4 linked regions of the Rhinolophus ferrumequinum genome follow. The protein of the gene in region 2 purifies or fractionates together with the protein of the main gene of each other region. This does not show direct contact. Links are inferred from orthologs where the notes say so. Each region holds a gene or a part of one and is shown on either strand. Other genes may lie near its edges.

Evidence for each region.
Region 1: the proteins of ARPC5L (region 2) and ARPC2 fractionate together in Homo sapiens (co-fractionation; 7 studies listed by BioGRID and IntAct, with this or other methods). This does not show direct contact. The link is inferred for Rhinolophus ferrumequinum from reciprocal best matches to the Homo sapiens genes ARPC5L and ARPC2.
Region 3: the proteins of ARPC5L (region 2) and ACTR3 purify together in Homo sapiens (affinity purification with mass spectrometry; 6 studies listed by BioGRID and IntAct, counting the BioPlex papers as one, with this or other methods). This does not show direct contact. The link is inferred for Rhinolophus ferrumequinum from reciprocal best matches to the Homo sapiens genes ARPC5L and ACTR3.
Region 4: the proteins of ARPC5L (region 2) and ARPC3 purify together in Homo sapiens (affinity purification with mass spectrometry; 7 studies listed by BioGRID and IntAct, counting the BioPlex papers as one, with this or other methods). This does not show direct contact. The link is inferred for Rhinolophus ferrumequinum from reciprocal best matches to the Homo sapiens genes ARPC5L and ARPC3.

What each region holds. Positions count from the first base shown.
Region 1 is NC_046291.1:17,016,974-17,024,202, forward strand, and holds the start of ARPC2 (actin-related protein 2/3 complex subunit 2), read right to left. Parts: upstream 3,013-7,229; 5' UTR 2,870-3,012; intron 2,655-2,869; 5' UTR 2,647-2,654; coding exon 2,573-2,646; intron 1-2,572. UniProt on the Homo sapiens protein: Actin-binding component of the Arp2/3 complex, a multiprotein complex that mediates actin polymerization upon stimulation by nucleation-promoting factor (NPF).
Region 2 is NC_046295.1:74,632,412-74,640,135, reverse strand, and holds the start of ARPC5L (actin-related protein 2/3 complex subunit 5-like protein), read right to left. Parts: upstream 3,001-7,724; 5' UTR 2,965-3,000; coding exon 2,816-2,964; intron 1-2,815. Other genes in the region: RPL35 (60S ribosomal protein L35), read left to right, coding at 6,678-6,680, 7,087-7,223. UniProt on the Homo sapiens protein: May function as component of the Arp2/3 complex which is involved in regulation of actin polymerization and together with an activating nucleation-promoting factor (NPF) mediates the formation of branched actin networks.
Region 3 is NC_046291.1:85,710,407-85,717,608, reverse strand, and holds the start of ACTR3 (actin-related protein 3), read right to left. Parts: upstream 3,009-7,202; 5' UTR 2,690-3,008; coding exon 2,646-2,689; intron 1-2,645. UniProt on the Homo sapiens protein: ATP-binding component of the Arp2/3 complex, a multiprotein complex that mediates actin polymerization upon stimulation by nucleation-promoting factor (NPF).
Region 4 is NC_046308.1:6,137,277-6,144,489, forward strand, and holds the start of ARPC3 (actin-related protein 2/3 complex subunit 3), read right to left. Parts: upstream 3,022-7,213; 5' UTR 2,889-3,021; coding exon 2,883-2,888; intron 752-2,882; coding exon 652-751; intron 1-651. Other genes in the region: GPN3 (GPN-loop GTPase 3), read right to left, coding at 4,860-4,919, 5,499-5,627, 6,136-6,232, 6,381-6,496, 7,054-7,178. UniProt on the Homo sapiens protein: Component of the Arp2/3 complex, a multiprotein complex that mediates actin polymerization upon stimulation by nucleation-promoting factor (NPF).

The sequences.
Region 1 (7,229 bases), on a different chromosome or scaffold from region 2:
TTCTACATGTGCGCTTGCCAAACACGACAGCTACTAGCCACGTGTTGCAACTCAGCACTAAAACTGTGACTAAGGAACTTAATTTTTATTTCACCTTAATGAATTCTTAAACTTAACTAGCCACATGTAGCTACTGGCTACATGTCCTGTCCTATAGGACATCACAGAGTTGGAAGATTCACTCTGAAAAGGGCTGCTCTGAACCGTCATTTCTCCAATTGGTTTGCTCTGAGACCAGTCAAGCAGGGTGGAGTTGACCTCTCCCCACAGGTTTCCACACTGGCAAAGCCTTTCAAATCTCCAGGGTTTCTCCTCCAAGCTACTCCCTTTCCTTAGTATCGTTCTCTGATCTCTCCCCCACACAACTCACCCATTAGCTCCACTGTAAACTTGGCCAACAGGCTCTCTCAGAAAGGCTCTCTTTTTCTGTTGCTGCCTGGTAAGCACTGGTAGAATCTCATACATGTTTATGATTATCACACGAGTTATCCTTTGCTGGAGGTTCTGCCCCAGGCATGCACCTTGGTAAATACCTATGTACTTCACTGCCGCCTCATCTTACTGGGATGCCTGAAAATTAACACTCGGGTTCGGAAGCTGGCTTCTGCTAGGTTCCAGGAAAGCCCTACCTCTTAGGCAGGATATCATGGTCTCTATTCAAAGACGTTCAAAGTGCTTTTTAGCAGAATATGTTTTGAGCCCACTTATTTAAAGTCACAGCTGAAAGGGAAGATGGGCCAGAATAAGAGCCAGAACTTGCTGCCCTGCCCCAATACCCAACACCGCTACAAAATATACTTTGTTAGAAATGGCCTAGTAGTTCTAACTTATGCCTTCCAGACTTGAGTGCCTACTTTAATTCCTCTGAAATGATTAGTTGTTCTTTTTAAGAGTAATTTTCTAAAACGAAAAGAGCTGAAGTTTCGAATAATGGGTTACATTTTGGAATCAAGTTATTAACACAAATAGATGTAAATGGACTCCTATAAGGCAGGCTTCGACTTGAAAATGCAGGCATTTATCTGGTGGATCAGCTTATAACCACCCAGGTCTCATTCTTTACTAGTCTGGACTTGAGAATGCACTTAAGATCAGCTGTGAAAATGCAGAAGTCAATTTAACTTCCTCCTATGTGCTGCAGTGCTCAAAAAAGTACACTGTAATCACCCAAAATAAGACTCTGAGCTGATTCGCTTGAACATTTAAAATACAAAGGAACTGGTAAGTGAGGCTGGATACAAGAAGCAAATTAGCTTAAAATATAAGCTACTGCAGCCCCTGGCAGGAAACAATAGCTACTGCTACTGCTCACTTCAAGGAAAGTTGTGCTTTGTTTTACAGATAAAATCTGTGGCCTTATAAAAGAGATAGGAGGAACACAATATATTCAATTTAAACAATGGGTTAGAAGTATTTGTTTTAATGCCTCCAAGCCACAAGTTCATATGACCACTTAGAAGTTCCCCTCCTCCAATCCTCTCCCGCCTAGTTCCCAGTTCACCAGAAGCAGTTTGCACTTATTTCCTCAACTGTGCAACCAAGATGTGAAGCCCCATCATCACAGATGGGGAAACGAGGCACAGGGACTGGCCACAAAGCACCAAAAATAAGAAGCTAGAAGCAATTCCTTGGCTCATGTTTTAAAGCAAAGCAGCTTTGAGGGAGGAGGTTGTCCTTTACCGATTCTTGTGTTTTGATAGAGAAGGCTGCCTTGAAATCTGTCCTAAGCCCACCTTTAAAAAGGCCAATGATAAAAAAGGTTATTCGAGACCTTTATAGGCTCTGAAGGCTTTCACGTGTGTACCTGGGCCAGGATTACCGAGGAAGAAATCTGACCAGGGGTCTGGTATAAGAATGGAAACGATAACCAGATAAAGGCTAGTGGGTGGGGAAAAGTGAATGAGTATCTCAGAACAGAGATAAGGAAGAGGTGTGGATGAGGAGACTATTAGCTTTGCTTGAGAAATGTGTAACGAAAAGACCAGTGTCTCTCAGTAGGATTCAGGGAAAGGAAACTACAGACATCGCGTTTTTCTGGCTGCAAGAGTGGGTCTACTTTCAGTCTTTCTTCCTGCTCCTTTAAATGACGAGCTGGGGCTGGGGAGCGAGAAGGCTGATGACGGTCTGAGCCTGCCTCTTCTTCCCTCCTCCAGCCCTGGGAATTCCTGGAAAACTCCTTCCAACCCAATCCAAACGGGCTCTCTTCGGGTTCGGAACAATGACGGGGAATACGAAGGCAAGCGGTCCCCTGCTCGCTCCAAAGGGCAATGGGATCCTCCTGCGTGAGTCCCAGCCCAAGCTGCACCCACGTCCCACAGGTCTCCTGCCCTTTAGCACGCGCACTCCAGTCCACTCACTGCTTCCGCATCCCTCCTCTGAGCCTCTCCCCACGCATCTCTGCCCCTCACCCCACCGCGCCCAATCGCCTCCCACGTCTACTCCGCCGGGGCAGTCCCCACACCCGGCCAGGTTCCCCATCTCTCTCACGTCTGGAGGGTGCTCAACGACACTGGGATTAGCAGGGGTCAACTTTGCCTCCCCCGCCGCCCTCCGGCCCCGGGCGCGCGCTCACCCGGCGGCCGCGTTCTCGAACTTGAGTGCGAGCGTCTCCTCGATGATGCGGTTGTTCACCTCCAGCAGGATCATGGCGGCGGCTGCCCCGGGCAGGGGAAGGAGAAACAAGGGCGGGTGAGGGTGGGTAAGGGAGAGAAGGACGGAGAGAGAGGTCCTGCTGCCCTCTGAGGAGGGGGGCTGGGTGGGGTAGGAGGTTAGGGGAGAAGGGGAGAGGGAGCGGGATACGGGGATGGGGGAGACGCGCGCGCTGCCCGCGCACGCTCTGACTGTGGAGACACCCACCCACCCGACCCACCTGGCCCCAGAAGCCTGAACCCGCCTGCCGAGCCGCCGCCGCCGCCGCTGCCGCCTCACCGACAAGCCCGGTCCCCGCCCAGCCCCCGGCTCCAGCCGGCCACTTCCGCTCTCACACCCACTTCCGCTCGCCGCCCGGACGCGCGGCCCCGCGACTCCATTTCCGCTCCAATCTCTTGTGCGCGCGCACGCAGGCGCGCGCGCCGGGGCGAAACGGAGGCTGCGCCTGCGCACGCGTAATACCGCCAGCCCGCCTCCACTTTCCCACAGACCCGCTCGGATCCAGTGTCTGCAAGTATGTCTCCCAGCCGGTTGTAGTCTCCCAAGGCGTGCCTTAGTGTCCAGCCCCTCCCTCCCGCTCGCTCGTCGCAGAGGTCAAGCTCCACCCTTCCGGTCTTGTCATTTCAGAGACCCCCCTCCCCCCCAGCCAAGTACCTTGCTCTTCTCGTTTCCCAGCCGGCTTCTTTGCTCTCGTCTTGTTCGTTGGAGGTGTGCCCCTTCCTCATGCCACACTAATGACTCTCCAGCGTCATCATCACGCATTTCTCCAACGAATATTTAGTGGGCTGCTGTTCTGTGCTGGGGATACAGTGGTGAATGAAATAGACTAGGTCCTGCCCTAGTGGGGCTTATAGTCTGGTAAAGGAAGCAGACAATAAATAAACTCTCAATTATATAACGACACATTGTTTAGATGACAGTGAAGGAAAGGACTGAGAAGTCATCAAGGTGAAAGGGCAACTTGGATGGGCCGCCCTGGGTTCCTGTCATTCCTCCATTTCTGTGCCTGGGGGGCTGCCTCCGGGTGCTGGGACATGATGGTCTTTGTCTTTGAAACCCTCACCTTCCAGTACCTCTCTCTGCCTCATATGCCTTCTTACTCATCAGCAAGAATCTGAACTCATTTTTGTGCTATATCTGCACCTTCTGCCTGTGTGTGCCTTGTGTTGTATTTTTCCTCCTCCAGGGTGAATCTAACGAACTTAGTTAAGTCCCTTCCCCATGCAATGATATATTTTCTGCCAAGTGGTCTTGGAGGTGGGGAGGGGAGGAATATCAACAACAAAATGAATGAAAAACTGGCCCCTGTCATCAAGGCCCAGACGGCCCTTTAAAACGGATTTCCTTGTTTACCAGCCATGGATAAATTTCAACAAATTGCAGATGCCCCCAAATTATACGCTAACATTTATTGAACTAAAATAATGCATATATGTATTTTAAAAATATATACCTATACTAAAGGCTTGTAATGAAAAAAAATCAGTTCACTGACTGATCCTCAACCCTTCTACATATTCATTTGATTAGATCCATATATCTAAATAAATGTTTATATGACTAATTCTTGATTTGTTAATTTTAAGGATTATCTGCTGACTTCCTGCGGTGATAGATAAGAATGTGACTCTATCACTTCTGTTCACCCCTTGACATAGTTATGTAACAATTGTTGGTTAAACCAATAATCAGCATTTAAATTATTATGTATGTAAATATTATTTACCAATAAGCCAAGAAGTGTACTACAACTATGTCTTCTAGCTTATACAGCCCTTCATTTTTTCTTGGAGTTGATAATTGCCTTTTTTCTCTCACTTGTCAATTTTCTATATATCCACAGTTGGCTGTCCCTCAACCACCACAAGTGCTCTAAGACTGTCAAAGAATCTAGCAATATTTTCCATATACTCAAATACTTAAGTTCCACTTTTTCTGTAGAATCTTCATCCCAGGATCTTCCTTCCTCTTGTTTCAATCTGGTTTTGCCCATTTCCTGCATTTTAACATGGTCACAATGCACATTACGTTGTGAGGAGCACTGTATTGATGGACTTCCCTGTAAGATGCAACAATGAGGTGCCGGATTTCATTGGGGGCCCATGAATGTCAATATTGGGAGGTCTCTTCTCCGGAGAAGAATCCTCCAGTTGTGTTTGGGGTTTGTAAGCTTGGCTGTGAGTATTCCTAGCCGAGCTTATAAACATTCCTAGAGTGTATGGAAGCAGGGAAGACGCTTTGGGTCACAGCTGACTTCCACTTGATGCCATTATCAGCCCTGTCCCTCCCCTACTACCTTCCACTGGGCTAGAATCTACAGAAAATGGATTTCTGTAGAAATGGTGGTGGAGATGAAGGACAGGGTGGAAGTGGGATAGGTTGGGTGGGAAAGGGTATAATCACTTGACTGCTTGAGGATCTAGAACAGATTTTCAACCAATTTTTTTTTAAATTTTGCATTTGGTTTATTTAAACTTATAACAAATGGAATAAATAAATATTTTTGTATTCACCCCCCAGCTTTCTTGAATCTTAACATTTTATATTAAACTTGCTTCAGAGCTTTAAAAAAATAGTTGAAACGTCCCGTGAACCCTACCCAATTTCATTCCTTCTCTCCTTCATCTCCCTCCCTGTACCCACAAATGTAGGTATCACTATGCATTTGGTGTTTATCCTTCCCAAGTATATTTTTACACTTTTACTACATATGTGTGTATCCATATGTAAACAATGTATAGCATATTTTTCATGATTTTAAGCTTTTTGGTAATAGTATCATACTGTAATCTCTTTTGAAACTTGTTTCTTTTAGTCAACAGTACATTTTTGAGATTCACCTATGGAATTACTTGTAGCTATTTTAACTGTGACATAGCATTCCATCATATTATTATGCATTATGATTTTCAGTGTTCATTTATTCTCCTGTTGAAGAACATTAAAGTTCTTTCTAGTATTTTTGCTATTATAAGCAATGCTCCTTTGAACTTTCTTATACATATTTCCTGTGTACAGGTGTGAAGGGTCTATAAGGCATGTTTTTAGGAGTGTAACTGCTGAGATGTGGGCTACAGACATCTTCAGCTTCGGCTAAATGTTGCCAAATTGGTCTCCAAATTAGTTGTACCAATTTATGTGTCCACTAGCAACATATGAGTGTTCTCATTGCTCACTGTCCTTGCTAGCACTTGGTATTGTTAGCCTTTGAAATGAATTGATATTAAAAAACATTTGATTGTTTATAAAATAAGAATTAGGCAGCTAGAGAGGCATGCATGAAGGCTCAGAGGCCAGATAACATGACATCTTGCAGAAAGTGAAAGCAGATTAGTAAATTGTGGGTAGAGCTGCAGGGGAGAAGTGCTGAGAGATGGCTGGCTGGAGACATTACGAGCTAATGTTTATTGAGGTTTAGTATTTATTCGGTGTTAGTGCTGTTTTAATAACTTTACATGTATCATCTCATTGAATCCCTGTGACAGCTCTAAGAAGTAGGCACTAGTATTAGTTCATTTTGTAGATGATGAAAGTGAGGTGCTGAGAGGCTGAAGAATATGTATGTGACTGGTTATTGTGCTGGGATTCAGACTCCAAATGTCATGCTCTTGACTACTGTGCAACACTTGTATCCGTTACTGAGCAGGATAGTTTAGTATTTTAGTTTCAAGTGTGATAAAATCAGAGTACAAAAACCTGGACCTGACATGCCGTTTAAAAATAATGAAAACAGCTTCCTGACTGAACCTTCATCCCGCTGAACCTTGATGGCCAAAGTAGAGAAAGTAACTGTTCTCAAACAGCGAGAAATTTTCCGTTTTCAGTCTTAAAGATAGAGGCTGGGAGTCATCCTGGGATTGAGGGGATGTCTGGCTAGCCTCCATTTGGTCCCCTGGATCTACTCTTCACCTCTCTCCATACCCACATCAATTGGGCCCCTTGCACTTGGGCTTTGGTCAGCTAATAAGAAGTCCCAACCGCAAGAGGAAGGGAAGGAGGGAGGGAGGGCGGGCGGGAAGGAGGCATGGATAGATAGATAGACAGACAGACAGACAGACAGACGGATAGATAGATGAAAGAGAGAGAAAGAGAGAGACAGAAAGAGAAACACACACACACACAGATCAGAGTAATTAATCCCCTGCTTCCTCTTCCTTGTGAGGTTGCTACCTCAGGCTGGCTGTCCCTCAACCGAATGTCACAGCTTCTGTCAAAGTGGCCACCTCAGCAAAACTCTTTTCTTCATTCCAAGTCCTGGTAACCATCCCTTCCCTTCAACTCTTAGGGCCTAGGTGTGGTATCAGCTTGGCTGCTGTTAGTACTGGATTACTGCATTCTCTCTTGTGGTTCCCTTACATCCACACTTTTGTAAATACAGTCATGTGCCACTTAGCAATAGGGATACATTCTGAGAAATGCATCATTAGGTAATTTCATTTTTTTGTGCAAACATCATAGAGTGCATTTACACAAACCTAGATAGTATAGCCTGCTATCCATCTAGACTATGGTATAGCCTGTTGCCCCTAGGCTACAAGCCTGTATAGCATTTTACTGTGTAAAATAACATGAGATTAAAT
Region 2 (7,724 bases):
GGTGTGGATGGGTAGAGGGCCTACAGCAGCTAGGGAGATTTGGGGAGCAGGGAGGGCACACCATTTACCAAGCTGGCCTCAGGCCCTTCCAGAGATCCGGCTGTGCAGGCTAGGGAGCCGTGTCCAACCATAGTCTCCTCTAGATCAGGGTTTCTCAACCGCGACACTACTGACGTTTTAGACCAGATGACGGATGTGGGGTCTGTCCTATGCATCGTACAATATTTGGCAGCATCCCTGGCCTCTACCCACTAGATCTCAGTAGCACCTCCCAAGATGTGACAATCAAAACATCTCCCAATATTGCCACATTTCCTCAGGGGGAGGAGAGAGTGCAAAAGCACTCAAAACCACTGCTCTGAACAGATCTCTGCCCCAGAGGACCGAAGGTGCTTCAGCGAGGAAGAAAAGGAACTACTACTACTTTAAAATCCCTACAAGGTCTCAGATTGTGTGCCAAGTGCTTTCACATGTCATCTCATTACAGCTAACGACTCTGCGACAAGAATCATTATTCTCATTTTAAAGGCAATGAATTTGAGGCTCAGAGAAGGGAACTGACCTGCCCAAGGTCACAAAACTAGCTGTCCAGCTGGCCTTTCAAACCCAAGTATGCCTGACTCCAAAGCCAAGCTCTTTTTACAGTCCCCTGCTGCACTCCACCCACAGACCCAAGCTGCACGTCCAGGACACCTGCTGTGTGCCTAGCACTGGGCCGAAGCCTTCTGGAATGTTGTCCAGCAGTGGTCCCATGGAACCTAAGGCCAGCATTTCTCCTGCTTTTAACAGAGGATGCTAAGCTTCAGAGAGGATATGTGACCTGTTCAAGGTCACACAGCTATCGTATGATGGAGGTGGGTGTATGTGTGGGTACACAGCCCATGTTCTTTTTACTTCATGTGTTATCTCACCATGACTCGCTTCATATGCAGTACTAGGGCAGGTCTCCTCCCTACATTCTCCCACTCAATCAACCAACCCCTAGCCCTTCTCCCCTCACCTCTGTCCTAAAACTCCTAGAAGTCTGTTCTACAATTTAAATTCAATCAACTAATATAAGTCCAATATCTGGCACATGGTAAGGACTCTAAATATTAGTTCCTTCCTCCCCCCTCCCTAGGTCCCACGTTTGCTAGGATTTCAGTTCTCATCTACGAACCTCCCTTTCCCCAATCCCAGGGGGTACCCTCTCCATGGCAACAAGGTTTCTGATACTGCCATTAGTGAAGACACTGCTATCTCCTGGCGGTGCTAAGCCAAGCCTCCAAGCAGTCACAAGGAACCTACCACTAGTCACCGGCATATGAGAGACGACCTTCAACAAATGCCTGCAGCACCAGGACCAACACAACAGATAACCAGACCTTGTTCTCCCATCTGTGGAGGGTTCTGGGCCATAGGCCTGACCCTGGAGCCCTTTTGGCACCACATGCCCAAGAGTGAGGTCCTACTCCAGATGCACAATCAGCCTTCCCTCATTGGGGCCATTTTCATGCCTCCATTTCGCCAATGGGGTAAGCAAGGTGACCATGATGGGGCAGGAAACACACCTTGGAAAACACACTCCTGTCCAAACAAAGTCTGAAGGTTTTTGTTTTAAAGGCACATTGGAGGAACACTGAGGACTCCTCCCAAAGGCAGTCTATGGGCCTGACTTCCCAAGCTGAGTCAACTGATTAAACACTCAGAACCTGATTTATATACAGCATGAGCTTCCAACCCTACCCTGGGCAAGTGTGGAGGAGGGGCAGGCACTTCCTGTAACACCATTTAAATAAAGAAAAATCCTTCCTGTGAGAATAAGTCAGTTTCCTGTGTTCAAACTGCTAAGGGACCAAGCAGGCTGTGACAACCACCTCTATTTTTAATCTTGTTTTCTAAATGCTTGTTTGCAGTGGCCACGAAAATAGTTATTTCCAGTTGTGGGGATCTACTTTTACATTTCACTTCTTGCTCTCTGGTTTTTCTTAGCTCTAAACTACTAGTTTTTCTTTTTACCACTGCTTCCTGCACAAGAAGGCTATTGAGGGCAGGGAGGCAAAATACACTTGTTGAAAGTCGCTAAGCCCATCAAGGTCCAAAGCCCAAGGTGTTCGTAGGAAACAATACGCGAGAAAGAGTGGCATTAAGCTGAAGGGTCAGACTGATTCTGGGGTGGAAGGTGCGCAATCCCAGCCCTCAGGTCTGAACTAAGACTTTAGCCTTCGCTCCCTCTTGTGTCCTTTCTTCCCCGCAGCCATCCACCCACCTATTTTAGTGTGGTGCTGCAATCGGGCCAAGAAGTGTGCCCAGGAGCCGCCCTGGCCGCTCAATTACTCAGCGGTGGCTCACCTCGGTCCCTCCCACCGGTCAAGCCCTAGTATAACCCTATTTCCTGCAAGGGAGGGATGGAGAGATGGGGCTGTCCAAAGGACAGCCTGAAGGGATGAGGAGGCAAAGGGAAGGAACGAGAGGCCTCACAGAGAAGAGAGCGGCCTGTTAGGGCCGGAGACACGTCCGGCATACTACTGGGGCCGCCGAGAGAGCCGGTCAACCAGAGTCTAGGGACCGCGTGGGGCTGCGCTGCTGAGGGAGGCTCCGGGAGCCGGGGCCAGGGACAAGAGGAGTGGGGAGACCGGATCAGAGGGAAGTGGGGAGTATTCAGACTGAGGCAGCCTGGCCCGACGGGAGCCGGATTGGAAGGGAGTTGGGAGACCCACCAGAGGGGTCGCGGGTAAGACGAGTGGGGAGCCGGCCTGAGGGGCCAGGGCCGGGTGAGGGAAGTGAGAAGGCCGGGCCAAAGGGGAGCCCAGAGCGCCCCGCTTGGGAAGGATATTGCCGCAGGAGCCCGTCCACCTCGCTAGGGTCCGGGCCTGGCTCGCCCGCCGCCGCCGCCGCCTCTTCCTGCTCGTCCACGAATTTGTTCTCGTCAAACTCGTCAATGTCCACCCGACGGAATCGCGAGGACAACGTGTTCCGGGCCATGGCGGGGGCTCAGCGCCCGCTCAGCCGGCTCTGCTCCGGACCCGACCTCCGCTCCACTCCGCTCCGAACCGGCTCGCTCTCGGGGGCGGGAAGCAGCCGCCCGGCTCCTCCTCCACCTCCTCCGCGCGCAGCCGCTGCCCGCCCACTTCCGGCCCACGCCGGAACCGGAAGTATAGGTGGGATGCAGGGGCGGAGACTGGCAGGGTAGCAGGTGGGAACGCGCGATTATCCGCGTGGTAGTCGCCCCGACCCCCCCACGCCAGTGTCCCATCTTCGTGGCGCCTCAGTCTTCTCGTCTGAAGAGCTGGCGCACTCTCCGCATGCAGGCCGGGCCTCGTGGACGCAATTACTGCGCTCGTTCTTCGGCCTCCCTCCTGCATTCGAGGAGCCCCTGTCCCTGGAGGGACCGGCGTGTGCACAGCCGCGAACTCTGGGGTCATCACTGCCCCAGACTGAGAGGGCACGGGGCCCGCAGGAGAAGGAGCTGGGCTCTGGCATGTCAATTCCGGGCAGGCTTCTTGGGGAAGAAATCTTCGAGCTGGGTTCTGAGTGATTAGTAGTAGTTCTTATGCCCCGGGGAGTGACGGAGGTAGAGGATCCTAAGTCTCAGATTTTAGGAGCCGTGAACACCACCACACTGAGCTCAGAGGAGGCGGCCTCTGCCTTGTGCACAGTGACCCTATTGTTGATGGACTAGGAGACTTTAAGGACGTTCAAAGTGTATTGAGGGTGCTGACAAGATAATGAAGACCTTTGGACTTCAGGGTGCGGTGGCACTGCGTGTGGGGGTGCAGAAATGAAGGTGATCCTGTGGCCGCCATCCTGGCAAGAAGGGCGAGGTCCTGGGAGCTAAGAAGTCGTGTCTGGCTGGGGAGCATATCCTGGTAGGAAGCCCAGAGTCTGAGATGGGGATGGGAGGGGGTAGGGCAGAGTCAAAGACGCCTCTGGTGCTAGGATTAGATGCTTGGACTGTTACTTGAAGGGTTCCATTAATGGGCCTTAGCCTTAGACTAAACTGGGTCCTTGCTTTCATGTAATAGTACTCTTTTTAATAAAGGCCAGTAGTTAATGAAATGTGACTTGTTTTTATTGATTTGAATATTTCTCATTGAACTGTGTCTGCAGATCGAAAACTACACCAGACTATAGTACATATGGTATCTTGGATGCTGAAGATACTCCTACAGTGTGGAAAAAGGTGCTGAATAAAAGTCCCAGGGGTCCTGGAAACAGGCAAAGCCCATCTGCCTTTCAGTTCCATATGTTGGAAGAAATCTTTGTGACCCAGGCAGGCCACCAGACAGAAATTCGTGTCCCCAGAACATCCTGGTCAGAGGGAACTTTACACCAGACATGACCATTTTACAAGTAAGGAAATAGCCTCCAAATAAACTGGTGAATGAAATAATGTACGTGCTTATGACTATGGACCTCCATTCCAGTCAGGAAGGCAGAATTTTAAAAACCTCTATTATGTCAGGATGACTGTGCTGAGGGGGAAAAAACCAAACATGCAGGGCCTGGGAGTGAGTACCTTAAAGTGGTCAAGAGAAGTGCCCCTGAGGAGGTGACACTGATCAGGGACCTGAAGGAAGTGAAGGTGGGAGCCGGGCAAAGGCTCAGGCTCAGCAGGCTTGGTGTATGCCAGAAACAGCAAGGCCATACTGGATCAGAAGAGAGAGAGAGAACATGGAAGTGGAGGGGATTCTATAGGGCTTTGTAGGCTGAGGACAGGATGTGATCTTCACTCACATGGGACAGCCCTGGAAATTTTGGGTAGAGCAGTGATGTGATCTTACTTAACTTTGAAAAGGGTTCCTCCAGCAACTGTATTGAGAACACATGGGAGCAAGAGCCAAAGTAGAGAGGCCATTTAAGAGGACACCAATGGTCTAGGTGACAGGCAATGGTAGTAGCTCAGGCCAGGCAGGTGCCAATAAGAGTGGTGGGAAGAGATCAGGTATGTTTTGAAGGCAGAGGCTACAGAATTAGGTGCTGGCTCAGATGTGGCATGTAAGAGGAACGGGAGTCACAGATGCCTTCAAATCCAGAAAAGATGTATACAACTGTATACCATGTTTCCCCAAAAATAGGACCGGGCCTTATATTAATTTTTGCTCCATTAGGGCGTATTTTCAGGGGATTTCTTACTTTTTCATGTACAACAATCTACATTTATTCAAATACAGTCATGTCATCTTTTGGAATATTATCATAACGAACTAAATGTGTCTGGCTGAGATCTTAACTGGGGCTTATTTTCGGGGTAGGTCTTATTTTCGGGGAAACACGGTATCTCTAATAGAACTATAAGCATTTGGGAAATGTGACAGCAAAGACCCTGTGCACTATTCAATTTCCATTTAAAACTAATCCATGACCACATTGCCCTCTGTCTGCCCTCTCCTTCCCATATCCCTCCACTTCCTAAAAGTCTCTCATTGTGGTCTGGGGTAAGGCTCATTCATTCGTTCATCCAACAAGCATCCACATGCAGGTCCTGGAGACTAGGAAAACCAGGTGTCCACCATGGTTCTTGCCCCCAGAGAAGTTCCAGGCTGGCTGTGGAGATAATACATAAACATTTGAACTCTGGGGCTGAAGAGAGGATTGCACATAAAGCTTGGGACACAAGACAGGTTGTGTCCCAATTTATTCCAAGGCTAAAGATCATTAACTCCAGGAGGGGATGGGAGAAGGCTCCCTGGAAGTGACACCTGATAGCAACTAGGGGACAATCTGGCATTAACTAGAGCTCAAAGAGGTGTTGGTATGTTTTTAATGGCAATGGAGTGACACTGACGCACTGATTGCTGGTTGGGACAACAATAAAACTGCTGTGTCAGCCTGAGCACCCTCCTTGCTTTGTGAATTCCCCTTTAACTTTCAGGGCCCGACTCAAGTGTTCATTTCACTGGGAACATTAATACCGGTATTTTGAGCGATTGTTACGCATCAGGTCTTGTGATAAGAATTTTCTAGGTGATAGAATCCAAATCCTCATAAATATCTCATTTCACAGATGAGAAAACTGAGACTCAAAGAGGGGAAGGTATTTACCAAGTCTTAGCTAACACCAGGCAACAGAGCAAGAATCTGAAAACGGGTCAGTTTCACTAAATAAGGCTTATGAATGCTCGCTCCCCGGCCACATGGCTGCCTCCACTAAAACATTTATGGAGTTGGATTATAGCTGTCTGACCCCGCCCACATCGGACTTTAAATTCCTGAGGCTGGGGCCGTGTTAATTCATTTTTGAAAACCCTCAAACCTAATCTCCTCCACTCCCTGAACACAGGTGCCACGCTCAGAGCAGCACGAACTGGGCGACCTGCAAAGATTTACCCAATAAATAAATGAGTCAATGAATAAATAAACGACTGAGTGGACGAATTTGAATCCTCACTATGCCATCTCTGCTAAACTGCCTCTCATCCCGGGCAGGCCGTGGTTTCCTCAACTGCTCCGCTCAAGCCGTGGGACTCAAATAACCTCCGGGGTCTTTGGAAGAACCAGGGACTACAGAGGGATTGGGCTGGCGGTACCAAGGTGTTCCTCGCGGCGTTGGCGGGGGCCGGAAGGGGCGGAGCCGGGGCTCCCTCTCTGCGACGCCATTGGCCGCGCCCGCCCTCACCCGGTAGTAGTTGCAGAGGTCAGCCCCCCCCTTCCTCTTTCTCTGCGAGCGAGCGGCGGCTCTGGTGGTTTGTGCAGCGATGGTGAGGGCTGGGGAATCGGGTGCCATCCGTGCACTGAAGGGTTCGGGAGCTGGGGTGGAGGGCGCAGGGTGAACGCTGAGGTCCCATCTGCCAGTTGGGCCTGTGGAGCGCCGTGCGGAGTGGCCCAGCGCCACTCAAACCGGTCTTTTCCTCCTACCGGCTTCGACTAGGAAAGGTGCGCGCGCGCGCTGCCGCGGCCTCGGTCTTACAGTCTGCGGAATGGGGATAGCGTCCCGGCCTCGTAGCAAGCTTGGGGTGGGGATGCTCAGGGCGAGGCGCGCGCCCCTCTGGGGCTGACCGTGACGCAGGTCGGGGAGAGGGTGGCCAGTGGGGGAGGCCTCGATGAGCGCCGGAGGAGTAGGCGGCGCCGCCGGGCGTTTAATCTAGACCCTTTCTTGGTACACAGGCCAAGATTAAGGCTCGAGACCTTCGCGGAAAGAAGAAGGAGGAGCTGCTGAAACAGCTGGACGACCTGAAGGTGGAACTGTCGCAGCTACGCGTCGCCAAAGTGACTGGTGGCGCAGCTTCCAAGCTCTCCAAGATGTAAGTGACGGGCCGCGGCCCCTCTGGGCGGGGGATGGAATAAGTGTATATCAGGGTATTTGAGGTTGTCTTAGGGAGGTGTCCGTTTAAGTGCTCGTTCAATGGATCTGTGGTTTGGAATGTTATGCCCTTCTAACCAGCTTTTCCGGGATCACCTGCTCACGCCTAGCCGTGCGGGAGACCCTCTGCCTTTGACCGTGTGGTCCTTTTGCCCTGAATGCCCTTGTCTGTCTTCTCTGGCTGGAGGAAAAACTGGGTGTCCCTGAAGACTCATTTTAATCCTGCCATCAAAAGCCTAACTGGAACTTTTTCTTTACCTCCCCTCAGCATTTGATTATTTTTTCCCTCGTTGGGTAAATGGAGTCAGTTGACCTGGGCACAAATTCTATTTCTGCCACATCCTACCCTATGGCATGTTGGCTCAACACCCAGTTTTTTTTTCTCTTCTATAAAATGGGCCCCCACTTCCTACGGTGGTGGGAGGGGATTGGAGGAGCTTGG
Region 3 (7,202 bases), on a different chromosome or scaffold from region 2:
CAGATAGGGTATCATATGAAAGAACTGCTCCTTTCTAAATTCTTTTCAAAAGGAGCTATTTTATGATCTTGGCTTAGGTGATTCATCATCTTATATCGAGATAAAGGATTTTTGCTGGGGGATCTTTAAGTCCTGGGATTAAGCTTCAAGTTTCCTAATTCTTACAGCTTTTCTCACCTGAGACCACCAAGTTCCATAAATGGCCACTTTTTTTTGTCACCTTTGCCTAACTTATATAATGAAATGGAATGAGCAACCTGATTAAGGTTATAATTTTTCACTGACATTAAGTGGGAAACTGCAATTAGATACTTAAGATATGCATGAATGCATTCTCTAAAGCACAAAGGAACACACAAATTATAGGTGCACGATTTGCATCTGGGGACCACAGTATTCTAGAACATAAAACTCCCTATTAAGGCCTTAGTTAGAGATGCTTACCCCAGACCCAATCTCAAGGAGCTATCTATGTGCTTTAATAAAACTAAAGGAGTAACATTCCAAGAAATGCAACAGAAAGACCAAAAGCCTTGCAAACCAAAATAAATGGATCTCTTAGAATTTCAGACTGTGACAGATGGTAAAAGTGATAGGAAATGGGGAATCCTAATTAGTTCCATTCAAATCATGAGTGTCCTCCTTTTAAGATAAAACTAATGCAACAATGTAAAATGTATTAACGTAGTAGTAACTGAAATATTAAAACAAAAATATCCTAAGTACTGAACCCCTCTCCCTACACCTACACCAGCAGGTGTTTTAAATTCAAGGTTGTCCTATCAGAAGGTCAATTAAGGACAGTTAACTTCAATGAAATACCTAGTATACTAATTCAAAAATAACCAAAACTGTATTTCCAACGGGGGGGGGGGGGGAATGAAGAAAAAGTAACATCCTACTTCAGATATTACCATGCTATTAGGGTGACAATTATCTAATTTTATTGACAATCCAGTCACTTGTAAAGCATAAATATGAATTATGTAGCAGTATTTTTCACTTGAACAAAATACACTTGAAAATTCTTCCTCAGTCAGGCCAAATCTAATTTTAAAAATGAACCTAAACATAAAACTATTCACCAATTAAAATAAAAAGAGAAATCTTGGTTTAGGGAAGTGAGACTGGATTAAGAAAACAAATTAATAAGCTGTCCATCAAAAAAATACATAGACGTTCCCAAGGCTAAACTAGGCTAATGTTTCCCAAGGGAAAATATTAATAAATAGGTTATTTCCCTATGCATGGTTGGGATTTCAGAAACTGCCACACTAGCATGAAATTTTACAGGGAGCAAAGAGGAGGAGGAGCATACCATCTTTAAGAAAAAGCAGCTTGCTGAATAATAAACAGGGAGGGGGGAGAGAAGGCTGGCAATTCACCTCTCAACCCCCTCACCCAAAATTGGAGTATTTTGGGAATTAAGAGATGTAATAATAAATCAACATAGCACACACGCACAAAAAGAAAACATGTCCAATATCGTAAAATAAAGCATTCTAGAAAATACAGTATTTTCTATGTAATTACAAAGTATAGTATAACTCTCTACAATGCCCATTAATACAGAAAGAACGACCACGTTAACGCCACGCTGTATTTTAGTAAACTACAGTACAGATCTGTAAGAATTCTTTGAAAAGCCAGCACAACCCTTTATAACTCTATACCTTCCTTCCCTCTTTATGATACCGTCACAGAATGAACTTCTTTTCCCGGGTGCTTCCCTTCCTCCCTCCCGTAGAACACAAATAAATTTTTCAGGTTCACATAAATTGATACCTAGCACCAGTAACTCAGTCTATTTAAAATCGGCTTAATTTTCAAAGTTCTAATAAGATGTGTTCAGGTTGGAAACGAAAAACTACCTTATAAGGGTATAAAAGACTGAAAGCAGGAAGCAGCTTTGACAAAACTAAGGAAGTTGCAGCGCGCTTGCTCACTGGGGGACTTTTTTGAAGCAAGAGAAGTAACACATTACCTCTTTCTCTCTCAAATTAAAATGTGACTAGGTTCACCGGTTAAAATGCAGCGGGAGACGGAACAGACACCGGGCGTTCGAGGAGGAGGAGGAGGTGGGTGGTCCAATGAAAGCCCCGATTTCGGTTCCCATTTTCAGAGTCCGATTCATCCCACTCCCCCACCCACACCCTAGGCAGTGTTGTCACAGCAATCTTGCAAAACCTACACGGAGCGCTTCTCTTTTCTCGCTCCTCTGCCAGGCAAGTCCCCGCGCTCGATGCCCAAACCCACCAGGCAGGCAGGGTGCGGAAGGAAAGGAGAGCCGGGTGCCACGGCTCGGCGACCACCCCCACCGCGTCCGCGCGCCCCGGGGAGGTGACCGTCCCCGCATCTCCTTGGGCGGCGCTGCCCACCGCGGTGGGGGAAGGGCCGGGAGGAGGAGCGCGGAGAAATCCACTCCCGGGGGTTTCTCGGCCCCGCGCCCGGGTCCCAGAGGTGAAACCAGGGGACAAGGGAGGCCCTGCCTCTCCGGGCCCCACCCCTCGCAACACAGCGGGGCGAGGACTGACACCACCGGCGACGGCACCTTGCCGCACCATTCATCTGCCGATCTCCTCCCTCCCCCGCCATTTTCCTACCTCAGCCTCAGTTTCCCCACCCCCGCTCGTCAGTCCCCTTACCCGGTGCCACAGTCCACCACACAGGCCGGCAGCCGTCCCGCCATCTTCCTCCTCTCCTGCTGCTGCCGCTGCCGCCGTCTGCTCCGTACCGGTTGTGGCCAGGGATTGGCGGCAGGAGATTGGAGCTATCTCACCATCCACAGCCGGGCCGCTCTCTGTCCGGGGGGTAGCCGGGAAGCCGAAGCAGTAGCGAGAAAGCAGCAGGCTCGGTCAGCCGCTACCACTTCCGCAACCCAGGCGGGCAGGCAGTCCCCGCCCTGCCCCGCCGCGGCCTCCTCCCCCTCTTTCTCCCCTCCTCCTCACTCCTGCCCCCACCATACAACTTCTTCCCCCTCACGCCGCCTTTCCCCGGGAAGTCAAGATGGCCGCCGGTGCCGACGCCCTGGCCAGCCCAGGCCCAGGCAGCGAGCGCTCCCCCTTCCGGCTCCGAGCGGGAGGGGTGAGAGCGCATGCGCAATGACGTGTGGTCACCGGCGGCGGCTCCCATCCCTACGTTAATGAAATCCACTTCGGGTTTTCCTAGAGTGTAGGGGCGGAGAAGTCAGCCCCAGTCTCCAATTCTTCGGAAGCTGAAAGGGGCTTTTAGTTTCAATTACTTCTATGCTAGGTTGAGGGAGGATGGAACCGCATCCCGCAGCCACGAATATCTTCCGTGCTCCGGGGAAAACGGCCTAATTGAAAACGTTGTCAGCAGCACACAACCATTCTTACACCTTGAGTGGCTGCTTTTCTGGGTGGAAAAGAGCAGTATCAGACCGATGGTGAGCAGTCGGGGGACGGATGAACAAAGGTTTGCACTGTGGCTCTTCTGCCTTCATGCCGAGGTTTTATTCGTTTACACTTGTGCACTGTTACAACATTGCACATTACAATTATTATAACATGTTTAAATTGTAGTGCCCCCCACCCACCCACCCAGAGCAGGCCTGTTCCCATAAGGAGGGCAAACATCAAACCTCCCGAGAATATATCCTACGTAATATACTCTACACAAATAGGCCTTTATTCAAGGCTTCTGGATGATGACAAAAATTTCCCTCTGGAGTAGTTTATACTATTCTACTAGCAGGATTATACCAAGGATTCAGGTCCAAAAAAAAAAAAAATCAAAAGAAAAAGATTAAAAACTGGAAAGCCTAGAACAATGGTTTTCAAACTCTAAGTGTTTATCAGAATTACCTGGAAGGCTTGTTAAAACAGATTGCTGGGCCACACCCCCAGAGTTCTCTGATTATGTGGTCTGCAGTGGGGCTTGGCAATTTGCATTTCTCCCAAGATCCCAGGTGATGATGGTCTGGGAACCAGAAGATTAGTAGCTTTCCTCTCCACTACGTTTATTGTCTTCTGATAAACCTTGTGGATTTGCTTATCTAAGGATGAAATAAAAATATTTTTTACTAAGAAAGGAGGTCTAATTCCAGAAGATCACACATAGTGTGGTGTTAGACTGGGCTGGGGGGTGGAATGTGGGTTTTTCATTTCTTTGATAGAAAAGTATAGCTCACCTATTCTATTATGATGACAACAGTTGCTGACCCTGAATATTCAGTATGCACAAAATATTAAGGTCTCTACTCTCATAGAGTACAGTGTAGTGGGGAAACATACAAATTGTGTTGAAAAATAATAGAAAGCAGAGAGCAGGGAACCAGAAAGTTACAAGCCTATGAGAAATGGGGATGGCAGGTGGCAGAATGGGAGGGAAGTGGAAGACAGGGAAGGCTTCTCTGACAAAGTGGCATTTAAAAGCCTAGGACGGAGGTAGTAGGAGTTAGGTGAAAGGGTAAGAAAAAAGGGGAGCTCTCCAGAAAGAAGGAACAGCAAACCTCAAGGCCCTGAGGTGGGAAAGAGGAAAGAGTTTGGCTTCGTCCACAAATTGAAAGACCCAAGTGGTCAAAGTGAAGTGAGTCAGTGAAGATGCAAAGGAAGGTGAAGTCTGAGAAATAAGGAAGAAGCAAACAATGCAAGGATTAGCAGACTTCTCTAAGCATCTTAAAGTTTAGCTTAAAAGCAACTTGGAAGCCATCAAAGAGATTTAAGCAAAGAAATGATGTAGGGAATGGATCCCATATAGTAATGAGTGGAGTGAATCATCTTCTGTCCTGTAGTGGGTGCTTTTAGGGATAGAAGTATGTGAGGAGTAGGATCCAGATGGGATCAGCTATGTGCAGAAGAGACTCAGGGGAGTTATCATCAGTTAGTATCCATCATATCCACAGCTACTCACAGCAAATACATAAATAAAGAAATAATTCTGAGGGTAAGCTTTCCTCAGAGATTGCCTTCCAAGAAGTCAAACACAAGTGGTTCTTTTTTCAGATATATAGTTGTTTTTTACCTACATTTTAGAAGATCCTAAGTAGGGATTCTTTGCTGCCTTTTCCACCATCAGGGATTTTTGGTCATTTGGAAGAGGAGATGCCTGAAGATAGACTGACAGAAGAGGGAGATGTGGCTTGGTTGGGGTGGAGTAAATGGTTGTTTCCAGCATTACAGGTGTAAGTCAGGAACAAGGGGATCCTACCAAAAGGGTCCCAAGGACAGAAGTTAGGAACTTAAACAGGTCTCTCTGGGAAGCCCACACTGGCAGATTATCAAGATGGCCGCCTACACGCCGCTGCCTTGGGTGGGTTGCCATGGAAGCAGTGTTAAGGGTCAGAAACTGGATTGCTCCCAGGGTCCAGGCAAGTGACGTATGAGTAAAGAGGGCAATGAGGGAATGGCAATGTGGAGAGCCCACATCTTGATGGAAGACCGTAGAAAACTGTTGCCATACAGAGTGCAGATCCAGTGTTGCCAGAGCCTCCCTTTTTTCAAGAAAAGCTGTAAGTCTGTATTTTTCTCTGTTGGTCACAAATTCTTTGCAGGCTAGATTTGACCTGCGGGCTGCAAGTTTTCAACTTGTGATTTGAGAGGCTCTTTAACATTTTCTTGTGCACCGCATTAAAACATGAAGCTCATGTTGGTGCTACATACTGTATCTCATTTTGTAGGCATGAGAAAACCTACCCCCCTTGTCTCCTTTACATAGTCAAGAATGTCCGTTATCTGTAAAGGCTGTGACTGTTAGAAGCGTTTGACAGCTTCCAACGCTTGTTAGAAGTGTCATTTGTGTTTGTTCCTCATAATTTGTCTACCGAAACACTTTGCTTGCCTAAGACTCCTTCTACTTCCCGCTTGCTACATGCCAAATTTGTCAGTCTAGTGCTGTGGTGGCTCAGGCTTCCTCAACTGTGTAGAGCCATCAGATGTACAAAAGAAGAAAGCGTTTCTGACCACCCTGTTTTGCATACGTCCCCTTCCTGCTTACCCTAAGCAGTGGTGGATAGTCAGGGTTTGTCTGACTGCCCTGCATTCATTACTCCCTAATTGCATTCTGATTTCCTTTTAGATCAGGTCAACCAAGTGCTTGGTTATGAGTTTCCAAGCTTGGTCCCCAACATTTCAAGCATTTGTGAGCCTTGCAATAGTTTTCCAATAAATCCCCTTTTGCTTAAGTTAGTAATAATCAGTTTCCATTACTTGCAGAAATTTAAGAACTCTAAATGATACAGAAGCCCAAAGTTTGTGATTTTTTTCCCCAGTATCTTAGGGAAGCTAGGGAAGAGAGCCCAGACCAAAACCTGGTTCTGACCTCTTTCTAGGGCTCTTTAGTTGTAATGCCACAAATATTATTTAATTTTGATTGATGTATTGGTTACCAGTTACCATGAGATTTCCTGGGGTTGTCCAATGCTTTAAAGCCAGCTTAGCCAATGTCTCTGGATCTTAAAATGTCTAAGAAATTCACATGTCTCTCAATCTCCATTTTAAAACTATCAATATTTTTTTTAAAAAATCAACTTAGGTACTTGCTGCAGGGAAGACTATTTGCAAATTGGCAGAGCAATCAAATCCACAGAGAACATTGATTAAGGGCAGATGGATAAATGGGCCATGCAGCCTAGTGGTCAGAGGAGGTAGCTGTGAATCCTGGCTTCTCCCTTCCCAAGTTGTGTGACCTTAGACAACTAACTTAGTGTATGAAGAGAGCACAGAACTTGGAATCAAGAGACTCAAATATGAGTTCTTTAATCTGTTTCTTCATCTGTAAAATGGGCAGAAAAACCTAACGTATAGGGTTCTTTAAAGGTTGAATTTTACAAAAGCATGTTATAAACTACAGAGTGATCTTATGGACAAAGAGGAATGTGGCATAATTATAAAGTAATGACTCTTTGACTTGTTACTTAAACATATAGACTTAAATGTCTAAAAGCTGGTCCTCTTCTTCACAAAAGTTATCCTGGGGCCTATGTGCTTACTCTTTTAATGCTACCATTGTGCAAAATATTTTTGGAAGGGCTCCTGCAGACTTGCCTTCAGAGCCTGTAGCACATTCCTTTAAATATCTTCATTGGTGGCAAATCTTGGCTCTTTGTGGGTAGATTTAACTTTTGGAATTGGCCAAAAGTCATTTTTTCAGAGCCAAGTCCAGTGAAAAAAAAAATCAGTGCTCAACTAGGACTATGTTTTTTGATGAAAAGCTTTGTATAACTGACTATAAAGTAATAAAAC
Region 4 (7,213 bases), on a different chromosome or scaffold from region 2:
TAGGGAAACCATGTCTAATATAATACAAATTACACTGTTGGCAGAGTATCTAAGAATGTGTCAGAAGAGTCTCAAGGTCTGAAAAGAATGGGGCTTTCTGAACAGTAAAAAATGATTTAAAAAGGAGTACCAAGAAAGAAAGCAGAATTATGTAATTCAGAAAAGCAAGAGAAGAAATGAGTAATGTTACATAGGACGCTTCAGATTTAAGATCGAGGTGTTGCTAAATATGGAGATCCTGAAAAATCGATCAAGAAAGTAGATTTAGATGGGGAAGAGGTTAAAATATGTTTTGTGTTTTTCCAGCTTAATGACAGATAAGGGGTAGGGACATGGCATTCTTTACAAGTAGCAGCACTAGTTTGTAAGAACTGACAGTGACGACAGAAAACTGTGTAGAGAATTAAGCACATTTTCTTTCTCCTCAACAAAATGTCCTGGAGAAATCAGCAGCAATAACAGTTTCCTATTAGATACAACATATACCTATATCTTGAAAGGCCTAAAAAGCAATATCCACCAAGCAAACAGAAAATACAGGAGCAATGTGAAACAGAGGCCTGAGCTAAGAATTTCCCTGATTTGATGTCAGAGGGTTGTTCGATGTTTCATACCAAAATCTGAAAATAACAGAAAGGGGTTTCGACTTACTCTCTCTAGGGGCGGGTCCTTTGAACTGACTTCTGATAGGCAACAGTGCCATGTTTCCAATCAGCTTGGTGTCGGGGTCCATGAGAGAAGAGTGGTAAGCCTGTATTGGCACGCCAGGTAATACAGAAACAGAAAGAGAGCAAACGTCAGCAGGGCAGAGAAGTGTTTTTCTCCGAAAGGGAAAAAAAAAAGAGTAACCCACCCCAGATTAACTAGAGGAAGAGGGAGAAGAGATGGTGGCAGCTGTGTGCTGGAGCTGGCTCTTACTGGCTCATGAAAACCAACTGTTAAATTTCTAGGAATTTTTGAGCCAAGCTGGTTGTTGAACACAGCTGTTATTAAAAATAAACTTATATAAATTTGCAATAAATTACATTAAAAACAAAGATAATAAATACTCAAAATTCATTACTTCCTATTAAAAAATACTGTTGTCTGTGAGCTTGAAGTTATTCATGCCTTTTGTATCTTTAGGGCGGAAATACTATATAATGTGGTACTACTGTGCATTTCTTTCAATTCCACGTTCAGTGACATCACACTGGTAACTGATGGGAGTATTTACATCACAGAAATAGGCAAACACCATATAGATCAGAGGTACCCACCCCCCAGCTGTTGTTAAGCCAGAGCCCAAGCACTGGCTTTTCAGCGCTGCCATTTTCTGGCTTTCTGTCTTTGATCGAGATACCATTTTTCTTCTCTTAGCTGGTTTCCAAATTTGCAAAATGAAGAGATATACTGCTTTCAATGGGTAGGTGTGAATTAAAGGATGAGAGGGGGGAAAAATCATATTTGTGAGAGCAACTTGTATATGAGTCCTCGTTCTGCCTTTTATAAGATGTCTAACTTTTTAAAGAAGACATGGGCCCCATTCATATATTCATTCAGTCAGTCACCAAATGATTACTAAGCACCTTCTAAGTGTAAGGCACGGTGATATAATGGTATACAAGACCAGTACGGTCTCCATTTTTAAAGAACTTTTGGCTAACAGAGAAGACAGATATTAAATAAGTAACAAAGGGGAAGTCCAGGGTGCTCTATGTGCAAATGGAATGAGCAAAGGGCTTTAGCGTCCTGGTTTAAAATCGGACTTTATCAAAGTCTTTGCACTAGTGTGCAACCTTAGGGAAATTACTTAACTTCTCTGAGCCTCGGTTTCCTCCCTCCTCTGCAAAATGTGAAACCAATAATATATCTACCTCATAGGCTCACTGTAAGGATTAAATGGGATAATTTATATAACGTGTGTAGCTCAGGGCCTGCCTGGCACATATCGAGTCAAATGGTAGCTATATGCTTCATAAAGTATTTATGACGATGGCCTGCTTCTTTTTATCACACGTATGCTTCATCTAAAGCAGCCTGCACCCTGCCTTTCACCAGCTACTGTCTTGTTACCCATCTATTTCCTTCATAGCATTTGTCATTATTAGAAACGATCTCCTTTATTTTATTTACATGTGTCTGCTTCCCCATTAAAATGTAAACTGCTTAAAAGCAGGGATTTGTTGGCTTTATTCACTGTTGTAACAGTGCTCAGCATGCAGTCCGTGCTCAGTAATGTCTGAATAATCACATGTTGTTGAACCTCTGTTTACCTAATCTGCAAAATGGAGGCTGTAAGGGCGATAAACTACCTCGCAGACTGGCTGCCAGAAATGAAGAGAAACTACACCACCAATTTTTCTCCTACTCTGATGCACAAGAAAATAGAAACATTTGGAAACCGGGCGCATACCTCGAGTTGGCTCTGGTGGCCGCCACTGCCGGCGCAACAGGGAAGTGGGTCTGACAAATGACAAGCAGCGGAAGGGACCCACCCCCTGGGACGGAGGAAGTGGGTCTTCAGAAAAAAGGAGAAGCCAGACCCTGGACTTGAAAAATGAAAACTAAAAAGCGAAGCCCTCGCGGCTCTGTTGACGTTTTGGGGACACTGCCGGAGTTGGGGGCTTGCAGAAGGGGCAAAGACAGGGTTGGGATTGGAGAGAAGGGGGCCGGAAGGGCTGAAGCAACCCCCTCTGCACGCCCACTCTGCCGCGCCTCCGCCCCTCCTGGCCGACACTATCAGGCCGCCCCAATCCTACAAGAACTGGCCCCCTCCCCTCTCCCGTTCTGTCCCCCGCTCCCTCTGCCCAGCTTGGCCCACTTCTCTCAGCTCACGCACGATGTCCGCCGCTCTCCCCAGTTCTCGCCGTCTCCCCACACCCCTGACTCGGGCTCCTTACCGGCATCTTGGCGGCCCCCGAGTTTCAACCCAGATGAAGAGCAGGAACGGGTTAGAGCGCTGGGCTTCCGGCCTGGCAGCCCGGGCGGGGTAGGCGGAAGTGAGCCGGAAGGGGCGGTGAGGAAGGACGCGCGCTTCCGGCCTTGCTGTCTGGCCGCTGGCTGCTGCGGCTGCGCAGAGCCGAAAGGGCCGGGGGGGGGGGGGGGGGGGCCGAACACCGAGTGTTGCGCAGGCGTGAGACGTGGAGCGGGCAGTGTGTTTGGGGGCTACATATCTGTGCTCGCCTTTGTTTCTTCAAAGAGCCCCTTTTCAGTGAAGCATTCCCTGTCATACTATTTTAAATTCAACCCCACTGGACTCCCTGCCTCATCCTTCTTTCCCTTTTAAAAGAATCTTATGATTCTTTTATTTAGTTTACTTTCGGTGTTTATTTCCCGCGATCTCCCCATCCATGTAAACAAAAAGGCAGTGATTTCGTCCGTTTTGTTCACTGCTGTGTACCCCGTGTCTAAAACAGTGATGGTATACGGTAAGCATACTTGTTCAGTGAATGAATGAACCCAACTTTTTTGTTGTTGTCATTTCAAAAATTTCATTCTCTTCAACTGCTTTTGCGGTTTATAGCGATATTTCACGTATTAGTTCCCTGAAGCCTTTTTCATTCTGAGCTTCGTTTGCAGTGGATAACTGGTTTTTCAGGGGTATGACCAAACCACTGGTTTTAAAAATGGGGAGAGCACAGTGAGAGGGAATTGTGCATTATTCTGTACTGTAATTCTGTGTGATGGTTGAGAAACTGACTCTGAGTTAGATTCCCAACTCCAACATTTATTGGCTGTGTAATTTTGGGCAAGTTAATTTACCTGTGTGTCAGTTTCCTCATCTGAAAAATGGAGATAACAGTACTTACCTCAGTTTCGTGAAGGTGAAATGAATTGCATGCAAAGTGCTTAGAACTTACATGCCTGGAATATACTAAAGACTCAGGAATTTTTAAACTATTACTGGAAAGCAACTCATGATAAAAGCCAAGTTCACTGCTGCTTGGGGCCATTTCTTCTCCCAGTCCCTCATGGGGACTTTGCCCCATGTTCCCATAATGGATTTCTCATTTAGGCCTCTGGCCAAACAGCACCTTTTAGGAAGAGCCTTGACAATGAGCCCAAAGCAGCCTGTTAGTCACTCTCCATTTCATTAGTTTTCTTCCTATTCCTTATCAGAGGCTTCCTTGTTTATGGTTAGTCTCAAGGGCCCAACATGTCAACTCCATGAGAGTAAGGTTTTGTCTGCCTTGCATGCTTCCCAGTGCCTGGCACCCACTGGTAAATTTGTCGGAAGAACCATGTCAAGCTCCCCTACTTGGGGAAATTTACTCATTCAAAAATTTGCCCTGGCTGAGTATTTCAATTTCTGACTGGAGAACAAGACTGTAATGAAAGGTCAGTGCTATTTCTTTTATTTATATACATATTTATCTTAAAACATAGTTACTTTTCATTTTTTAATTATACAAATAATACATTTTCAATGTAGCAAAACTGGAAGATACGGATAAACAATGGCCTTATCTATATTCTTCCAACTTTTTTCCTCTAGACACACATATGTATATTTTGTTAAAACAATTCCAGTCCCTCCAAAAAAAGGTTCAAAAATAACAAAAATCAAACTGTTTACAGGTCTTAATTGTACCACAGGTGCTGATTTATATTATATGCAAATCTATGTGCAGTCATTTCAATTTCAACTTTTAAAATCTAAATTGTGCTGTAAAAATATTAGTACAAGACTCCACTTTAAACAGCAGTAGTTTCAAGAATAACTAAGAACCTGATTCAAGCATGCTGCTGATAAACAGCCAAGTATTATTTTTTTTCATTAAAATAAGTAGCTTTCTTGTATTGCATCCTTTGAGAAGAATGTTCTGATGTTTCAGCCACAAGCTCTTCACATACATAGTCACTTTTTAGTAAACTCTTTATTCATTCTGGTGTTCTTGAAAATATTCATCAAACCTAGAAGACTCATCTTCATGTTCCTGACACAAAGGAAACACAAAATAGAACATACATTCATTTCCCCTCAGACCTAGTATGTGTTTATATATTTTTCAGGTAATGCTCTGTAAGGAGCAAACACCCAGCACCACTCCAGATGTTACTCACAGGTAATAGTTAATAGTAACAAAGGCATGACTGATAGACTATTTCCAGATATGTGGTAGTAAGTGCTTCTCTCTCATTAGGAGCATTTTTCACAGAGTTTACTCACGCCGATTCTCAACTAAGTTGTGCCCTATTGACAATAACCATTAATAGTCTTTCCACTGACACATGTGACAGCAGTCCAAGTTCAATTGGATTTTACTTCCTCTTTGCATATACCCCAAGCTCTGAGTATAAAGAAACATAACTCAGTAACATTGCCTCAAAAAAAAGTAGAGTAAAAGTGATACTGCTCGTTGAGCTCAGGTGTCAGTTTCAGAGATCACCCAGAAAAGCCCAGGTTATTGCTGCCACTGAGACAAAAATTGAGTTCCTGGGGTTATATAGGATGCCAGGGAGTGCCGACAAACATTTCTACCAAAAGCCAATAAACACCCTAAACCAGAAATTACCTTTGGTTCTTTAAATTCCAAGTCTTCTCCATACTGAATGGCAAAATCAATATGCTGTAATACAATATTCATGCTTTCTTCATCTGACTGATCGTATGGCAAAAATCGAACCATGCTGTAGTCGTCAATCTACAAATTGGGGATTTCAGAAAGGGTCATTCAGAAATTGTGCAAAATACTTAATTTTCAACTTATATTTGCGTTTTATAACCATTTATACTCCTGATTAAACCATTTGTGTGTGAGGGGGTAGAGATAGACAGTGACAGAATGACAGCAAATCAATGTTTTTCTGACCTCGGACCTACTTAGAACACTCAACTTATTACTTAACTAGACACTATTTAATAAGCATTTATCTGAATTCAACAACCACTGGAAATTTCAAAAGGGCAGTTCTGAGCTCCCAATATGGCTTGGAATAATAGACATGTCAGTTAAGTTTTTGGCTACTGCCAATAACTGCTTCTAAATTAAACTGCTGACTGGCTAGCCCACAGCCTCTCACCACCACCTCCCCTTTGCAAGGAAATTGGGTTGGATCATGCTTTCCATAATGGTGGCCACTGACTAGAAACCAGTAAACACCTACTAACCAGGGCATTGAAAAACGACAACAACAACTTAAGAAGCTTACCAGTCCACATATAGCTTTAGTCAATTTTTTGAATTTTTTGCTTCTTAAGTCACTTGTAGAATCATCTAATAAAGAATACATGTCTGGATCTAGAAACCTTTAAAAGTGAAAAAGAGATGATGAATTAAAGGAAGAATAAATCAGGAAATTGGATTTATAGACTGACAGAACGTCACATGTAAACAAAGTTTAGAAGATTCATCTCTGCAATTGAGATCTGATGACAATGGAAGACATGAACTCACTTCTCAATTTCTTTTTTCGCTTTCTTACTCAGCAGATCCATTTTTGTCATGATGTTAACTTGTGGAATTTCTAGAGAGATCATAGCGCTCAGCGCTGCCAAGATGCCAGAAATAAACTGAAGGAGGAAACAGGAAAGGGAAGATGAATCAACTGGTGCCCACAAAGCTCCCGGGTCTCTGTATAAAAGAGAGGCTTCTGCTCCTCCCTGGAAGAAAAGTCAAAGACACGCTAATCCTAAACATAAGACGGTCCACTCATCAGATGGTTGACCCTTGGTTTTCAAAGGTGAGGATAAGGAAGGAAGATGTAGATTTAATCTACAGTGATCACAAATCTCATTTCAGACTGTATCTTTAACCTTTCCATTGAAAATTCCTTAAGAGCTACTAAATGAGAAATACAGTTTTAGATAGTTCACAAACGAGACAAAAGTTCCTCAGAAAATTAAAAATACTTTTATCTGCCTCATTTTTCTAATTCCCCCAAATCTATATAATATCATAATTTATCACATGAATTAAAAATACATTATTATAATAATTTAATAATAAGGGATACTGAATCATTCTGGAGTATAGTTTGTGAAATGTTCAGAATCACACAATGATTAAAGGAGACTATCATCTGCTTGTACCCAGAACTGAAAAATCAACAACAGATTTATCATCAAACCTTGAACGACTCCACCATAAACTGAGAGTCAACCAGAAAAACTCCACAGACTCGGAACTCCCACTGTTCTAGCTGCTTGACCAGCTGTTTCATCACGGGCAGGTGCGTGTACAACTCAATCTGACCTATATGAAGAACATTACGAGACTATTACTATCAG